Linked DNA regions of Caenorhabditis elegans. The protein of the gene in region 1 purifies or fractionates together with the protein of each later gene. This does not show direct contact. Each region holds a gene or a part of one and is shown in the gene's direction. Other genes may lie near its edges. The genes, in order: T28D6.6 and F27D4.4.

Evidence for each region.
Region 2: the proteins of T28D6.6 (region 1) and F27D4.4 fractionate together in Caenorhabditis elegans (co-fractionation; one large-scale study listed by BioGRID). This does not show direct contact.

The regions. Positions count from the first base shown.
Region 1 is NC_003281.10:11,338,097-11,347,464, reverse strand, and holds the start of T28D6.6 (Developmentally-regulated GTP-binding protein 1), read left to right. Parts: upstream 1-4,356; 5' UTR 4,357-4,386; coding exon 4,387-4,425; intron 4,426-4,478; coding exon 4,479-4,532; intron 4,533-4,618; coding exon 4,619-4,730; intron 4,731-5,217; exon of another isoform or gene 5,218-5,561; coding exon of another isoform or gene 5,562-5,690; intron 5,691-6,367; coding exon of another isoform or gene 6,368-6,525; intron 6,526-6,642; coding exon of another isoform or gene 6,643-6,995; intron 6,996-7,074; coding exon of another isoform or gene 7,075-7,520; intron 7,521-7,576; coding exon of another isoform or gene 7,577-7,759; intron 7,760-7,893; coding exon of another isoform or gene 7,894-8,331; intron 8,332-8,377; coding exon of another isoform or gene 8,378-8,503; intron 8,504-9,049; coding exon of another isoform or gene 9,050-9,151; intron 9,152-9,368. Other genes in the region: strt-10 (START domain-containing protein 10), read left to right, coding at 994-1,210, 1,897-1,983, 2,249-2,616, 2,907-3,041; Gamma-secretase subunit pen-2, read right to left, coding at 3,462-3,530, 3,805-3,991, 4,061-4,110; T28D6.5 (CUB domain-containing protein), read right to left, coding at 5,562-5,690, 6,368-6,525, 6,643-6,995, 7,075-7,520, 7,577-7,759, 7,894-8,331, 8,378-8,503, 9,050-9,151.
Region 2 is NC_003279.8:7,721,648-7,730,660, forward strand, and holds F27D4.4 (Zinc finger CCCH domain-containing protein 15 homolog), read left to right. Parts: upstream 1-3,371; 5' UTR 3,372-3,381; coding exon 3,382-3,643; intron 3,644-3,691; coding exon 3,692-3,841; intron 3,842-3,889; coding exon 3,890-3,972; intron 3,973-4,023; coding exon 4,024-4,212; intron 4,213-4,331; coding exon 4,332-4,475; intron 4,476-4,561; coding exon 4,562-4,663; intron 4,664-4,716; coding exon 4,717-4,831; intron 4,832-4,924; exon of another isoform or gene 4,925-4,992; intron 4,993-5,149; coding exon 5,150-5,229; 3' UTR 5,230-5,465; downstream 5,466-9,013. Other genes in the region: F27D4.7 (Vesicle transport protein), read right to left, coding at 2,347-2,661, 2,756-2,839, 2,918-3,007; bckd-1B (2-oxoisovalerate dehydrogenase subunit beta, mitochondrial), read left to right, coding at 5,620-6,018, 6,065-6,538, 6,874-6,960, 7,024-7,164; F27D4.8 (Chromate transporter), read left to right, coding at 7,555-7,704, 8,052-8,156.

The DNA.
Region 1 (9,368 bases):
CACGTCATTAGGCTGTGCAATTTTGTGTTGGCCGAGTTTTCTCTTATTTAATTTTCTAGGCCAGGCATTTTGTTTTGTGTATTTCTATTGATGGATTCTAAAAAATGAACGCGAAAAAAGTGGCCGAATTTTCGGCAAAACTCGGCCACCAAAAATGAAAACTCTACCAAAAATCTGTAACCATTTACGAAAATTCGGCCGTCTATTTCTAAAACTAGGCCATTGATTAGCAAAAATCAATCAGCTGCTATAGAAGCTCAGCCGTCAATTTGAAAATTTTCAGTCACCTATTTAAGAAACTCGGTCACTAATCTTGAAAAATCGATCATCAATTTTAAAAACTCGGCCACTTATTATTAAAACTCGGCCGTCGATTTTGAAAACTCGGCCACCAATTATGAAAACTCTGCTAACAATTTTAGAAACTCGGCCACCAATTTTAAAAGCTTGGCCGTCAATTTGTCACCTATTATAAAAACTCGGCCATCATTTGGATAAACTCGGCCACCAATATTAAAAACTCGGTCACCAATTATGAAAACTCTGCTAATAATTCCAAAAACTCGGCCACCAATTTTTTTTCCCAAATTCTTTGTTTCGTCCATCAATTTCCGTGTTTGAAACCGCTCCCTTTCCGATTGACTTTTTCCTCTATTCTCAATGCCCCCGCAACAAATGTGTTCGCCCCTCTTAAAAATTTATGATTTTTATGGGCGGCGACCGCCCGCGTATTTCCTCCAAAAAGCAACGTATTCGGGCATCAAGCTTACACGACACGTGGCCGTGCAAGAAAAACCTCGGCCACGTGTCGCGAGCAAACAGTGCGTGAGCTCACAGCTGAGCTGACACAAAGTTCAGGACTCCTTCCTGCGTCTCTGGTTTTTTTTCCAAAATTGTCATTCATTTGCCACCGACTTCCACTTTTTTGTGCTGCTTCCGTTTCTTTTTCAGACTTTTTTGTTTTAAAATTCATTACTTCAGACTTCGAAGCTCATGCGGGTCAATGTGGCAAGAGTTTGGGAGGACTCGGATTATGAAAAAGTGAAAAATCTTTGTGAGGATAGTGAAGGATGGGTAGAAGTTTACAAGAAGAAGGATATCACAATATGCACTCAGAATATCGAGAAAAGTAGTTATCAAATGATTAAGGCTATTGCACAACTTCCAGATGTTTCTGCAACAGTTGTCTATGATGTGTTACATGATTCAGGTTAGTTGTTTTGGTTCTGTAGAAGTGCTCTAGGGGTACTGTAGGGGTAGTATAGCAGTACTGTAGGGGTACTGTAGGAGACTAGAGGGGCACAGTAGGAATCTTGTAGTGGTACTGTAGTGGTACTGTAGGGGGACTAGAGGGGTACTGTATTGGTACTGTAGGGGGATCAGAGGGGTACTGTATTGGTACTGTAGGGGGATCAGAGGGGTACTGTATTGGTACTGTAGGGGGACTTGAGGGGTTCTGTAATGATAATGTAGTGGTACTGTAGTGGTACTGTAGGGGTCTAGAGAGGTACTGTAGTGATACTGTAGGGGATTGTAGTGGTTATGTAGGATAGTGTAATGATACTGTAGGGGGACTAGAGGGGTACTGTAGCAGTACTGTAGTGATACTGTATTGGTACAGTAGCCGTACTGTAGGGGGACTAGAGGGGTTCTGTAATGATACTGTAGTGGTACTGTATTGGTACTGTAGGGGGATCAGAAGGGTACTGTAGTGATACTGTAGTGGAACTGTAGGATAATGTAATGGTACTGTAGGGGGACTCGAGGAGTATTGTAGTGGTACTGTAGGGTGATCACATGGGTACTGTAGTTATACTATAGTGGTACTTCGTTGGTACTGTAGGAGTACTGTAGTGGTACTGTATTGGGAATTTCTGTAAAATTCCCTTTTTCCAGCTTATCGAGCAAAATGGGACAAGTACATGATAAAACAAGAGACGATTGGTACAATTAATCCAAATAATGATGTTTGCTATTATTCATGTAAGTTTTTTTTGGACTTTATCGATTTTTTTGAAGAATTATTGATTTTTTCGGATTTAACACACGTGATCTCAGAGTGTCTCATTTTGGCTTGATCTACAAAAAATGCGGGAGAAGAGACGCAGAGTTCTCAACTGATTTCGCATGGTTAAGAACGGGCTGACGTCACATTTTTTTGGGCAAAAAATTCCCTCATTTTTTGTAGATCAAACCGTAATGGGACACTCTGACACCACGTGCTAACATTGTATGATTTTATTTCCAGTAAACTCTGTATCACCAATCCGCCCACGCGATTTCGTAATGCAACGAAGCTGGCTGGAAACCGACAAAGACCGTCTAATCTGCTCACATTCGGTATGCCACGAAGACTATCCACCGGCAAAAGGATGTATTCGAGCCACGGTGCTCATTTCCGGATACCTAATCAAAGAAAAAGAGCAAGGATGTGAAGTTATCTATATAAGTCATTCGGATCCAAAGGGAAAACTTCCCACGTGGCTTGTGAACAGAGTTACGAAGGTGGTGGCGCCGAAGGTTATAAAGAAGTTGCACAAGGCATGTTTGGGATATCCAGAGTGGAAGGAGAAACATCATCCTACGTGGAAACCGTGGAGTGTACCGGAGCAACAGGTGAGTTCATGAGCTAGCTCGAAAATTGAAAAAAAAAAGTTTGTTTTCTTCAATTGTGGCAAAATATCATCGAAAACAATCAAAAATGAAACGAAACTATCTGAAAACGTTTAAATTCACAGAGTTTCGCTAATACCTACCGGGACCCAACGTTTCGGGGCGGAACGCTTTTACTTGGCCTTGGAGCGCGCTTGCATCTCGATTTTAAAAGGCACAGCTGCATAATATCGCTGCTTTTGATAATTTTCTTATGGAAAAACGCGGAAAAACTTAATTTTATCGATTTTCAGATGGATTTGCCACGTGTCGATTTGCTGAAATGTCAGCCAAAAGATTATGAACAGGAAATAATTGACGAATCGAATTTATCGGCGATGAGCATAAGCACCAAGGATGACGAAGACGAGGATTCTTTGAAAAACTGATTTTTTTAAAAATTTTCTTTAAATTTATTGATTTTCACTCTTTTTTATTGATTTATTGATTTTTTCCTTACAATTTTAATTGCTACAGTAATCTTAAAGGCGCATATCCCAAACACATGCTTTCACTGCGAGACCAAGCTTATACAAAAACGATGCCCCCCTTTAAAGTTGCTACGGTAGCCATTTTTTTTAAATGTTTTTTGTTAGTCTTGGATTAGATTTAAATCGATTTCTGTGATGATTTTTTGCCGAAAATTAAAAATTAAACATATAATTGGACATATTCATTTATTAATCGGTGAGAATAAATATTGAAACAATAAATACATCAAATTTAACGCCCAGAAGCGCCAGGAGATCAAAATAGAAGACGATAAGAACCAGTGGAGAAAAATCAATCAATAATTGGAATTTTGAGCTTCAAACTCGTCCCGTCGGGAAGACAAATGTCAGGAAATCGGTCCACACGAGGCCTTGAGCGCGGTAGTGCTGAAATTTTTGAATTTTTCAGAAAAAAATCGAAAAATTAGAGTATGAACATGTTTTTGTGCAAATTTTCTGCGTTTTTTTTCGCTAAATTTTTAGGAAAACATTTGGGAAAGTTCTATTTTTGAAGAATTTTTGAATTTGAAGTTTTTTCTCCAAAAACTTCGAACTTTTGGTTTTTTTTTCAATTTTCAGTGAAAATTAGACTTTTAAGGAAAGCGTTTTTCCAGCAAAATATTTCCCAGCAAAAGTATTCAATTTTTCTGATTTTTTCTACCTGGAAAAAGATTTCCCAGGCGCTGAGCACAATAATCCAGAAAATCGAGCCAACAATGCTGGCGATCACGTATTTCCGAATCTGTCGTCGATGTGCGTTGATCGGTTTGCAAAACGCGTCGGAAAAAAACCAAAATGTGTTGACAATCCATACGAGCGGCAGAAAACACGCGCCGATCAGGAAATACCTGGAAAAATCGATTTTTTGAATAGGGAAATTAGATTTTTTTTTTGAAAAAATGTGAAAATTAACTCACTTTTTACATAAATCAACTTTTTTCACGTCGGTTAGCTTTGAAATATCCATAATATGCAAAAAATTAGCTCAAAATTGAGGAAAGAATAAATAAATAAATATTTTTCGTCAAATGTGGCGCCGAGTACGCAACCAAAACAGCTCGGTGTTTGCGTACTTTGGCAATTTCCAAAAAGTGCATTTTCCACTAATTCACCCCTAATTTCCTCGTTTTTCACCGATTTTCTTAATTTTTCCGTCTAATTTTTGCTTATTTTGCTCACAAAGTGCCTATAAATCACTATTCAACTATTACAGAACCTGTAAAACCCGAAAAACCCGTTGAAAATGTCGGTTTTGCAAAAAATCGCGGATATCGAGGCCGAGGTGAGCACGCGGAAGCTTTTCAATGCAAATTTTGAGAATAAAATGATTTTCAGATGGCTAGAACTCAAAAGAACAAGGCCACCAACGCTCACTTGGGTATTCTGAAGGTAAGAGGAGGATTTTGCAAAAAAAAATCGAAATTTTTTTTAATTTTTCCGCCAAAAAATCCACCAATTCATTTATATTTGTCCAGGCAAAACTCGCAAAGCTCCGTCGTGATTTGATCACTCCAAAAGGCGGTGGCGGTGGTCCAGGAGAGGGTTTCGACGTCGCAAAGACCGGAGACGCCCGTATCGGATTTGTTGGTGTGTTTTTAGTGGAATTTTGCAATAAAAAATTACCAAAAAATTGTAATTTTCTCTAAATTTATGGCAATATCTGGAAAAAACACTGAAAATGTGTAACATAGCTCATAAAAATCGTCAAAAAGGTTCTGAATAGTTCTCATCTATTTTTTGACAAAAAATCTCAAAAAATAAATTAAAATGGCGAAAATTGATCCCACCAAGATTGTTCAGCATCATATTTTCCTTAATTTTGCAGATTTTCCGATAAAAATCTTTAAAAAACCACTCAAAATGTAAATTTTTCAACATTTCTCCAATAAAAATGAGCATTTTCTGAAAAAAAAAATACCCAAAAAAATTCGGAAATTGATAAATTTTATTTTAAAAATGGACTAGAAGCTATAAAAAAATTCTTGAAATTTTTTTTCTAAATTTCCGCAAAAATGTGATATTTTTGTGAAAACCCACAATTTAACCTGAAAAAATCTTAAAAATTGTATTTTTTTTTCCCGAAAGATCGGTCAAAAAACTTTATTTTTTGCGAATTCACAAAAACTTACAGGCACACGGGATTGGGGGAAAGAGAGGGTAATTTATTTTGAAAAAATAAAAAAAATCTACTACGAGCCAAAAAAAATCTAATTTTATTCTACACCGGGGTGATAAAAAGCGAGAAACGACGAAAAATTGGTTTTTAAAATTTTAAGTATTTTTTTACAATTTTTAATAAATAGGAAAATATAAAAATTTTGGGGGGGAAAAGAAAAAGGGGTCGAAAGATTGATTTGAGCAATTTGAAAAGGCAAAAAATACATATATTTATGGGGGGAAAATGATGGATCAAAAACGCTATCGAAGATCATCTTCATCCTCTTCGCTCATCTCCTGACTCCGTTGATGATGCATTTGATTATTGGATCCCGAACCGGATTCTGGTGGAGAATCAGGGAACATTCCTGGTGGCGGTGGTGGTAGTGACTGCAAAAATTGGAAGTTTTGGGTGGAAAATTGAGGTTTTTGGGGCGAAAAAATTGGAGGTTTTTGACTGGAAAATTTGGAGGTTTTAGCTGGAAAATTGAGGATTTTTTTGGCCTAAAATTGGAGGTTTTTGGCGGAAAAATGGGGGATTTTTAGCTGGAAAATTGAGGTTTCCGGTAAAAAATTATGGGTTTTCTGGATGAAATTATGGGGATTTTTGGCTGAAAATGTAAAACTTTTCCTCTAATACATAAATCCCATACAGCTCATTTCTCCCACTCTTGCTGGAAATTGAGACTTGGAGTTCGAAATAACAGATTTTGGCTCCAAGTTCATCATTTTCATCCCAAAGTTTTTTTGCTGAAATTTCAATATTTCAACTGAAGATTCAGATTTTTTGGCGTAAAATTGATGTTTTTAGCTGAAAACATAGATTTTTGGCTGAAAATCGAGAGGTCAAACTGAATTTCCAGAATTTCTGTCTTAAAAAAACTCCATTTTTCTAAGGGAAATTTGCAGTTTCTCAGTAAATTCAAGATTACACAGTTTTGAGCTAGAAAATCGGTTTTTCTAGAGAATTTTCAAGCTGTGCGGAAAACATTGGTGAACTGTTAGAAAGCACATCAGGCACAAGAATCGGAAAGTTAGTAAATTTATGTGACAAAAAATGGTGTTACCTTCATCGGCACAAAATCTAAGTCAGTGTCTAAATCCACGACAATCGGAGGCTGGGGAGAAAGTTCCTCTCGGAGACGTTCGTACACGAAATCGTCATCTTTTTCGGCGATTTCGGCGTCTTTTCCGTCATCCTGTACCCTGGCGGGCTCTTCCTCTTCTGAAAGTGATTAAGGAATAGAGAGAGAGAGAGAGAAATCCCAAAAGAAGAAGAAAAGAACACTGTTTAGAAGTTAGATTTTTCAAAAAAAAAACTTGAAATCTCAAAAAATCTCACCTTCCGAATCAGACTCGGTGTTGTGATTCAAGTGATTCTGAATATGATTCTGAATCGGAGAGGATGGAGGTGTCTCTGTTCGTTTCTTGTTCAAATCCTTGAGATCCTGCTGATCCTCCGACCCTGGAAGCATCCTTCCTTGCGACTCGGCCTCCTTCACCAGCTCGGCCTTCGCCATCGCCTTCTTCCAGTCCAACTCCTCCCGCGTCACATCCTCATCGTCGCTCATTTTATAGTAAACGTCGACTTCGCCTTCCTCACTCGAAGACCACCGATCCTCCTCGTCGACGGATCCTTTGATGCTGTTGATCGGAACCGGCGCGTCGAGTGGTTCGGCCAGAGGGTCGTCGGATCTGAATTTTTGGGAATTTTTTCTTAGAAATATTGATGAATATCGGGAGAATGTTACGAATTATCCGGATCTAAAATTACCTCAACGGCTTCAACTCTGGAATATCTAACTGCCCCTCCATCTCATCAATTCGACTTCCTCTCCGAGACCTTGGCCTTGCAAATACTGGACTTCCACCACTCCGCAGTCCTTTCAAATCCGTATCCACTTCGTCTTCCTCATACCGCTTCCCTGTGTGATTTTGCATCACCAGCGGTAGATCCGGAGTGTCGGACTGCAGTAGGACCATCGGCGGAGCATATTTACCCGATGCGTCATCCCATGGATCTTCGATTGGAGACTTTGGAATCTCGTCCGTCGGACTACTCGATGAGGCTCTGCTCTTGTGATATTGATCCTCGACATAGTCGGAGAAATCCTTCGACGGTGGGAATATCGCTTCGGAGCTGGTGGTGGCTTGAGATGAAAGGACTGGTGACACGTTTTTGTGTAGATTCCCATTGTTCTCAGTTCGCTTTGTGAGAATCTACAAAGATATTAGAGATAATCAATAAATAGCTACTTGATTTGTTGAAAACTCACCGGCGACTCTTCCTTCGATCCTTTCAAGTCATCCGTCGGCTTCGGCGTTGTAGTTGTAGCCGCTGGCTGGTGCTGATATGAGTCCACAAAGTTTGTCGGATACGTTGGCTCTCGTGGAAGCTGGGAAGCGTCGCACTTGAACCAATTTCGCATTTGTCTCTGCGGAAGAGACTGCGAGTTGTCCTTTAAACGAATTTCGTAAGAAGACTTTTTTTAAATTTAGCTAAAAATAGCTTGGTTTTATCAAACGAATTTTGAAAAGTTTCAATTCGAATTTCGTTCAATTTGAACACGCCCTTTAAAACGAATAAACTCACGTCTGGAATCTCATCAATCTGGCCATAGGTCAGTGGGATTGTCTCTTCGGCGTGCACCATGTGCCCATTCCTCGATGGCTTCCGCTTCTGGCTCTCACAAGTTCCATAATTCTTCGCATCAACTGAAGCGACATGGCTCGTCTCTGCCAGCTTAGCTTCTCGCTTAGCTTTACTCTTCCGTCTCACCCACCGGAAGCATTGAATCAATGCGATGCAGTAGGTGGCAGCGAAAAAGGTGGCAATCGCACAGACGATGGTGATCAACGTCTTATTGCTCTTCTGATTGTCCAGCCGTTGCTCTGGAGTAATGTAGCTCAGAGCGCCAGCCGCTGGCACTGCGTAGTTCCGCTTCATCTTCGCCGTGCGGACACTGTCGATTTTGATGCCTCCGAGCACGCGAGAAAGTGGTCCCACTTGACTGGCAATGATGTATTTGATCTGGAAATTGTGGATTATTAGCAAAAAGAAAGCTGAGATGATTTACCTTAATCGGATCAATAATCGTATCCTCATTCACCACTCCATTATTCCTATCGTTTTTCGTCAAAACGAAGAGTAATCTGGTGAGATTACCCTTCAAATGGTCCATACGAAGAATCACAACATTTTCCTGCAAAAAAGTGCTGTCAGAAAAGCCGAAAGAAAGGATCCTAGGTGTAGAAGTAAAGCCGTTATTCGCAAAGGTGGGCGGCAAACGATTTTTTTCGGCAAATCGGCAAATTGCCGGAGTTGAAACTTTTTGACAAATCGACAAATTGCCGGAGTTGAACATTTCCGGCAAATCGACAAATTCCCGAAATGGAAAATTTCCGGCAAATTCCCGAAATTGAAAATTTCCGGAAAATCGACAAATTGCCGGTATTGAAAGTTTCCGGCAAATCTGCAAATTGCCAGAATTGAAAGTTTCCGGCAAATCGACAAATTGCCGGAATTCAAATTCCGGCAAATCAACAAATCGTCGGAATTGAAAATTTCCGGCAAATCGGCAAGTTCCCGAAATTGAAAATTTCCGGCAAATCGGCAAATTGTCAGAATTGAAAATTTCCGGCAAATCAGAAAACCGGCAATTCGTCGATTTGTCAAATTTGTCGCCAAAAAAATTTGCCGAACGGCGATTGCCGCCCACCGCTGCTTATTCGCAAAGAATGATGCACACCTTTGTGAAAAGTGGGTCCGACTCGTCACGCTCGGCATACACGACCGATCTGTCTAGATCAAGCTCGTCGGCCTCTTCATCGCTCAATTTTTGGAGCATTTCCTTCAAAAATTTGGTGGATTTTGTTGTGGAAAACCCCACAATGCATAAAACATAATATAATTAATCAGAGAAAATCAAGAGAACCGAGCATTTTGGTAAAAAGTGATCACGACGACGAATACGTGGGTTAAATGGTTGATTTTTTGCAAATCAATCGAATATAATCGTGCGTGACGTTGCTCAGCCAATTTCAGCAATTTTAAGGCTTTTTCTAGAT
Region 2 (9,013 bases), on another chromosome or scaffold:
TTTTTGGAAGAACAATTTTTTCCCAAAAATGTTTCATAAGGGGGGACCCTTATCAAAATTTTAAAATAGTGGAAAATATTTTTAATTACATTTTACTGAACTCAATTTTTTTTCAATTATTTGTTGGTTTCAATCACAAATCACATTTACGACTCAAAGTGATTTTTTCTTTTCTACGACTTCAATATAAGAGCGAGAAAGCATTTCAAAAGAAGCTCTAAACTCAGATGGCAACGACACTCCGAAATAACGGTAGCGCGCCCTCTTTAGCGTAAATCCTCCTCATTTTCGAAATTATTTTTTCACGATTTTTTCTTCCTTTTCTTCGATTTTTCTTTGTTTTCTTCATCAATTCTTTGATTTTTCGGCAAAAATAATTATTTTCCGTATATTTATTGGTGTTTCAGCATTTTCGACATTGACGCGAACGATTGGGATGGCACGGAAATGGCTGGATGAGAGAATTACCGGCGGTGGCGACAACATTGCTTCGCGAAGAACTAAAGATGGAAGAAAAGGTTAAAGTTGAACTCAAAAATGAAGTTATTTATAACAATTTATGTTTTCAGAGTCGTGCAGAGTCGTCGCCTCTTCGACATTGACCACAAGCGTCCGCTAAACCACCTCATCCTTCCATTTTGATGAAAATCAACGTAAAAAGGAACTAAAAAATGAAGAAGCTGTGAAGTAGATTCAAAAGAAAGTAGAAGAATCGAGCCTCACGCGAATACTTTGACAGGCAAACACAAGTTAATAAGAGATGCGAACAATTCTCATCGATTGGTTCAGCGATGCCGTGAAAGAGTACAATTTCCAAAAGGAAACATTTCATATCGCGGTGATCCTCGTGGACCTTGCTCTCCCAATGTTCAATATTGATAAAATGCGATTTCAACTGGTTGGAATGACGTCGATGATGATCATAGTGTATGTTCATAATAAAATATTTCAATGTAATGTAAATTTTAAAAATTTTAGAAAATACGACGAAATCTTCCCACCAGTCGAGTACCCGACATTATTTTGATGGAGCGATTCTTGATTGGAAAGTTCGAATTTGTTGTCGCTAAGCCCACACTATCTTGGCTCGGATCATGATTTGCAAAGAGAATTAACCTTACAAAGTGAGTTTTAAAATCATAATTTTTTTAGCGTTTGGAAAAAACTAGCGATTTCTCTCAACTTTAACGTTAATTTTTTATAGAAAGATGCGGAATGCTGTCAAACTCCTCGAGCTGTCGCTGATAGATGATCATTTTCTACGTTACCGCCCATCTGATGCTGCTTAGAATCACCGAATCAACAATTCGACCAAGTGGCTGCTAATGATGGATCCAAGGAATCGGGAATCGAGACGAGGCTCACACTAAGCCGAAATATTAAATAATATTAATGTTTTTTTCCCTTTTTTCAGATTTATTTTTTCATTTTTCATGTTGAATAAACACAATTTTTGGCAATTTTTTTAATAAACAAACATTTTAATAAACAAAAAGCAGTATTCCCGGTATATATGGACCTAATACAGAATCTACAAGAACCTGACACAAACCTGACGTTGACCTGTTACCGGCCCGCGGCGGCTTAGTGTCAACTTGACAGCGGGCCGCGATTTCACCTGCCAGTTGTTCTCCATTCAGCAGCCAGCGACCTGCTGGCAGGTTGCCACTAACCTGACGCGCTTTACCTGTGCCACGGAAGCGGCCATTTTCTGATGGAACTGATAAAATGGCTAGCCTAAGGGAGTCCATCCAAGAGAAATAAGTGTACTATCAGGAGGACATAAGAGGCGACAAAAATGTGTAGAGGTAATGTATTTTGCTTTTTATTGGATGAAATACTCTCAGTAGCTTACATTTATTGCAGTGGCTTAATTAAAAACCGAGGGCGGGTCTCACAGCGATTGAAAATTTTTCAGAAAGGTTGCCCGCCGGCACGTGCGCCTTTAAACAGTACTCTAATTAAGAAACGCGTCTCTCTAAATACTTTTCATAGATTAACTGATATTTACAAAAAATTGCCTTAAAGAAATTCGAGTCCTAATGTTGGAGCCATTAAAATTTCAAAATAAATGAAACTCACCATTAAAATTGGCAAGGATTTTTTAATGGTAATTGATAGCTTTATTCAATATTATACAATAAGAATTATGAAGCAATTGATGCTGATATCATGGCGACAGAAGCTGTGAAATCATGGTGAATTAAAATTTAAGTACAGACAATCACAATAGATTAGGTAAAAGCTCTCACAACCGGATGATGGCAAATCTCAAAATTAATAATAGAAAGGGAAATGGGACAGTCGAGGGTAAAATAATTTCAATAAGTATTCAACATGAAATATTTAGAAGAAGATCTTTGAGACAGCTTCTCTTGCATAAGGAATGTATGAAAGTGAGTACCAAGCCATTGCAATGTACTGTCCAGCAGTACAAATTATTGCGAGAAGAGAATTTTTCAGGACGAGACCGGAAAGTAATGTTAGAAAAATGAACAAAATATACATAGATGAGGCAATCCAACGACTTTTATCGAACATTTTCTTGATTTGTCCGATTGGTCCCATTAAGCAGCACGTGCTCGAAAGGGAAAGAATTGCACTGATTGAAGTCATTATACAGAAACCGGTGATTTTTGTGAGGAGAAGGAGGTAGCTTCCCTGAAAGCATAAATGAATTATATTTACAGACGGACTATCAAGCTTAATTTTTATGATTACAAATTTCATGTTCATTTCAAAAAACATAACTTACACAGAAACTGGCGATTATTGACAAAATAAAGAGCCCGACGAACGATTGAACTCGAAGCTCCCACGACATTCCTGTTGTCACTGTCTGAAACATTTTTCATAAATCTATCTTTGTTTTTTATTTGGTTTTTGATAAGAATTCAATGTGATAAAAACGACTTACAGGCTGCGAAGGTGATTCCTGAGAAATAGAGGGCCCATTGAGATTGTTTGGGTTTTCCGGATCACTGTTCCGGTGAACACTGCCAAACATTACTGAAAAATGTAAAAATTCGATTAAAACGTTGATAAATAATCAAAATACAAATAAAACCGATAAAATAAAAGTTAAGAGAATAAAATCACAATATGCGCGAACGAGACATCACTGGCGCAGTTCCCGTTTCATTGACGCATTTCTCGATGCAATGTTTTTTCAGCGATCACTGAACACGTTTTTAACCTGTTTTAAGCTCCTTTTTGAAGTTATTATCGATTTTTTTTGTGAAATATTGTGAAATTATATTTTCTGCCACTTTTTATTTTATTTCCAAATGCCTATCAAATCTTCTTCATTTTTTATATGCTAATTTAGGATTGAAACTTTTAAAAATAAATATGCAAACCTTTAAATTAAGATCTGCAACCATGCCGCCGAAGCAACAAGGGCCTAGTAAAAAGTCCGAGCAAAAGCGCAAGGAGAAAGTTATCGAGGACAAGACGTTCGGATTGAAAAACAAGAAAGGAAATAAAAACCAGAAGTTTGTGGCACAAGTTGAAAATCAAGTCCGTAACAACAATACTCGTATGGATCTTGTCCGACAACAAGAAGCAGCTAAAAAAAAAGAAAAAGACGAGCTTCTCGATATTGCCAATCTTTTGAAACCTGTGGAACAAAAAGTCGCAAAAGGTTGCCACTTTTAGATCGAAAAAAATTAAACTGTTGTGAATTTTTCAGATGTCGATCCAAAATCTCTTCTCTGTGTATTCTTCAAACAAGGTCTTTGCGGAAAAGGAGCAAAGTGCAAATTCAGTCACGATTTGGCAGTTGCTCAGAAGACAGCGAAGAAGAACCTGTATGCAGACAGCAGAGAAGTCGAAAAAGACGGTTTGCACCAAATTAAACGTTTTTTTTTGTAATTTCTAAGCATTCCAGAAGAAACAAACGAGAACTGGGACTCGGACAAATTGAATGAAGTGGTCAATAAGAAAAATAAAAATAAACATATGATTGATATTGTAAGCAGTTTCATGACAGACATTTTTAAGTTTAAAAAATTGAATTTTAAGGTTTGCAAGTACTTCTTGGAAGCTGTAGAGAACAACAAGTACGGTTGGTTTTGGGAATGTCCGAATGGAGGAGAAAAATGTCAATATCGGCATTGTCTACCAGAAGGATATGTTTTGAAAAAGGAACGGAAAGCAATGGAGCAACAAAAAGAAGATGAAATTAGTATTGAGGAACTTGTTGAGAAAGAGGTATACTTATAGGGGAAAATAGTGGCAAAAACATTGTTAAAAGTTATTTCAATTTGAAAGACCACATAAATTAAATTTTATTCCAATTTTTCGTAAGAATTATAGTTTAACATTTCCAGAGAGCCGCTTTGAGTTCGAAAAATCTCACAAAATTAACACTCCAAACCTTCATTGCCTGGAAGAAGAAGAAGTTAAGAGAGCGAAAAGAGAAAGAAGAAGCCGATTTGAAAGAAAAGAAAGAGAAGATCAAATCTGGAAAACATGTAAGAAATTTGAATTTTTATTTAAATTTACTACTTTAATTTCTGTTTCTCGTCTCTTTACATAAATTAATGTTTTCTTTTTTTAGAATGGAATGTCTGGACGTGATCTTTTCTTATATGACGCCAATCTGGTCAACAACGACGACGACGAGGCCGGAGATATTGAGATGGAGAAGGAAGAAGTTGATGTTAGTTTTTGAAATTAATTATTTTAATTTTACAAAAATTTAAATAATTTCAGGAGAATGAAAAGGTATTTGAAATCGATGCCAACTTCTTCAAATTCGACGGAATGGACGATGAACTGACGGATCAAATGAGCAAATCCTCGACTGCTGTTGAATCTACTGCTAAAGGTAATTTTTTTCAGTGCGTAAATAAAAAACAATTTTCGTCAAATTTGAATGGCTAATTTTTCTGTTAAAAAACTATTTTTGACACGTGGCTTTTCTCTGGCTGTCAATATCCTCATTTCATTCTTATCAACACAAAAAAATTCAAACATCATTTTGGCTGTCACTTCAAAATCTGTTATCTTTCGGCAAAAATCAATTGAATTTCTCCCTTTCCCACAGACACACGTTTTGCAAAAAAAAAAACGTTTTCTTTATTGTGTCTGGGTCTCTTGTGGCGAGCCGACACACTATCTCAAAAACTAATTTCAAAAATTGCAGGAATGGCAAAGATGGACATCAACGAGGACTTGTTCGACATTGACGAAGACGTTGAAAACCTCGATTCTGATGAGGATTGAAGAGTATACTTCTGGTGCTCCCCCTTTTTTCCTGTTCTTTTTCTGTTTTTGCTTTGAATTTCAGTGTTTCTTTTTTCCCGATTCCCCTGCTATCTATTATTATTTCTTGTTTGTCACGACTAACCGGTAGTCCCAATTTTCTCTGTATTTGATTATTTTTTTCAAATTACAAGGGACTATTATTTGAAGTTTTCTCCATTTTTTGGTGTCGTTTTGTTATAAATTCATTACAATTCAGATGATTTATTTTAATTTTGAAAAAATATCGGTTTTGCCCGATTCATTTATCTTTTATTTTAATCTTCAAATAATGCGTGAACTTTTGATTGAAAAAATTAATTAACTTGGAAATCCTATAAAAGTTTATTTTAAAATTATTGCGATCTTCAGATGAGTTCCCGAGCCGTAAGCCTCTTCTCAAAATGTGGATCCAGAATCTCCCAAACTCGAGGAAAAGCTCACTTCACGTTTCAACCATCAACCACACTTCCAGCAGGACTTGAAAATCTTGAAAAGACTAAAATGAATTTGATGCAGTCTGTTAATGAAGCGATGAGAATTGCAATGGAAACAGATGATTCTGCTGTTCTTTTTGGTGAAGATGTTGCTTTTGGTGGTGTCTTCAGATGTAGTTTGGATCTTCAAAAGAAGTTCGGAAAAGATCGAGTCTTCAATACTCCACTTTGTGAGCAGGGAATTGCTGGATTCGGAATTGGAGTCGCAGCGGCTGGAGCAACTGCCATTGCTGAGATTCAGTTTGGTGATTACATCTTCCCAGCTTATGATCAGGTAATATCCGGAATAAATATTATGGAAATAAAAAAAATTATTCCAGCTTGTCAACGAGGCAGCCAAGTTCAGATACCGTTCGGGAAATCAATTTGACTGTGGAAAACTGACTGTAAGAACAACATGGGGAGCCGTAGGACATGGAGCTCTATACCATTCACAGAGTCCTGAAGCTAACTTCACCCATACCCCAGGATTAAAGCTTGTTGTTCCACGTGGGCCAGTTCAAGCCAAAGGACTTCTTCTGTCGTGCATTCGTGATCCGAATCCATGTATTTTCTTCGAACCAAAGATTCTTTATCGATTGGCTTCTGAAGATGTTCCAACTGGAGATTACACAATTCCACTGGGACAAGCTGAAACTGTTCGTTCTGGAAAAGATTTGACACTTGTTGCCTGGGGAACACAGGTTCATGTTGCTCTTGAAGCAGCTCAATTGGCCAAGGAGAAGCTCAATGCAGATGTTGAAGTTATTGATCTTCAGACGATTCAACCTTGGGACGAGGATCATGTAGTAGAGGTGAATTATTACAAAATTCTGCGAATGCGTATTGCGCAACATATTTGACGCGCAAAATATCTCGTAACGCAAAGTACAGTAATTCTTTAAGTGACTACTGAAGCGTCGATTTACGGGCTCGATTCTTGAAATTAATTTTTTGCGATTAGTTCGTTTCTCCGTTTGGATTTTAATATTCTATCGATAAATCAATGATCTAGCCCGTAAATCGACACAAGCGCTGCAGAAGTCATTTAAAGAACTACTGTAGTTTTCGCTGCGAGATATTTTGCGTTTTTTGTTTGTGTTCGCGTAATATTTGGATGTTGAGTGATTAAATATGAATTATTTTTCAGAGTGTTCAAAAAACTGGTCGACTCATTGTCACTCATGAAGCTCCGATTTCTTCTGGTTTTGGAGCTGAAATTGCTTCTACTGTTCAGGTAAATAATTTATATTTTACTTTCCTTTTTCAAATAATAAATTAACAATCAAAAATATTACAGAAACGTTGCTTCCTGAACCTTGAATCTCCAATAGATCGTGTTGCTGGATTCGATACACCATTCCCACACGTTCACGAACCATTCTACCTGCCAACTGTTCATCGAGTTTTCGACGCAATCAAGAAGAGTGTTAACTATTAGAATATGTATTTGATATAAGAAATTATACAAGGTAACAACGAAACCGTGTAGAAAAGTAGAATATTTTCTTGTTTTAGCCTAATTTTCTGTTCAAACGGTGCCATCTGCATTTTAAATCACCCATATTTTATTCCGGTCCAAATCGCTAAACCCATCATCATAAATGTGTTGGTTTTTGACATTATATGTCGAACATTCCCTCAATTGCTCGTTTTAGATATTTTCAGTGTGCTATAGTTCTTTTATGTGTTTTATGAATAAATGTATGAATTGATTTTTCTAAAAGTATTTTCATCTTTTTTCTTCGTTGGATTCTCATCTAATATTTGATTTTTGATTTTTCCTGTAAAAACGGGAAATGCGGATTTTCAGATCTCTTCAAAAAGCGGGATGAACCATATAATAGCTGCGGGTCTTCTAATCATTGTCTCAATTGCATCAATTATTCCTGGATTTCCTGTGCTCATCTGGCTTCAGAGTTATTTCCCAGAGCTCCCAGAATATTACACAATTGATAGTATTGCTGTCTATAGTGTTCAGGTTAATATTCTCATTTTCATCAGATACCTGTAATATTACCCGGTTCCAAAATTTTGCAATTTTTGACATACAATACTTTATCTCGAAGCGACCGAAAGATCCCAGTTACCGTACCCACAAGTCTTCCTACCGCATATTTGCATCTTTCTGTTCAATGTTTTTTGCAATCACTGGAAAATTTGGAAAGAAGCTCAAATTGTAAGAAATACTGATATAAGCAACATTAAAAAGCGAGAAACTTGCGGGTACGGTAACCATGAAGTTTTCGGGCCCAAAATTGCATCTTTTCTAAACTAAGTAACTTGTAGACTGCTAATTTTGTTTCAGTTTTTGAATTTAATTTTCAGGCCGGAATTATCTTCATCCTCGGAATCCTGTCAATGTGTCTCTACTCGGACATCGCTTGCCCACTTGCCATCAAGGGATATGCTGCCATTTTTTCCAGAATGTGATTAATTAATTATATATTGCCAAATTTGAATTTTTCTGTGAAAATGTACAAATCGAAATAACAATTTTTTATGCTATGAATTTTTTTCGCATAACACTTTGAAAAGAAGCATACGTAAATATGAGCGTATTACGTGAACACTTAACTTTTGGAATGTATATTGCGAAACATATTTAACGCTCAAAACATCCCGTAGCGAAAACTACAGTAACTCTTTGAATGACTACTGTAGCACTGGTGTCGATTTACTGAAATCTTTTATTTGTCGATAAAATATTGGAACAAAACACAACAATGGCAAAACGAAACGAGAAAACTAAATAAAATTTTATATCGATGCCACAATTCGGACAGAAATTCGTTTCAAAAATCGAGCCCGTTTTGCTTAAAAGTACTGTAATTCCCAACTCTTCTTATTTTTCTTTGTGGGGGATGATTTTTTCTAATTACACGTATGACCACACCATGACCAAATACACTGAAAATCATAAAAAGGGTGTATTTGCACAAATTGCAAAAAAGGCCAAATTTTTTGAAATCTGTGCAAACATGCTAAACAGTTTTGTGATTTTCAGTGTATCATAATGAAAAACTCCAAAGTTAGTTTTTTTTAATTTTTCAAACCCTCAAGATTCAAAGGTTTGAGAAATTGCCAAATTTTCGGAAATTTTAGGTTAAAAAAAATAAACTTAGAGCAACGCCGCCTCTCTAAACTCCTACAACTTACAAAAAAAAATCAGATTATTTATATAATCAGTTTTTCACAACTATTGTAAGTTTTACAATCACATTTGGTCGTTTATGAACTATTAAAGTGTTTTTTACCAATTTCCGCTTTTCAACTTTGAAAAATCTCAG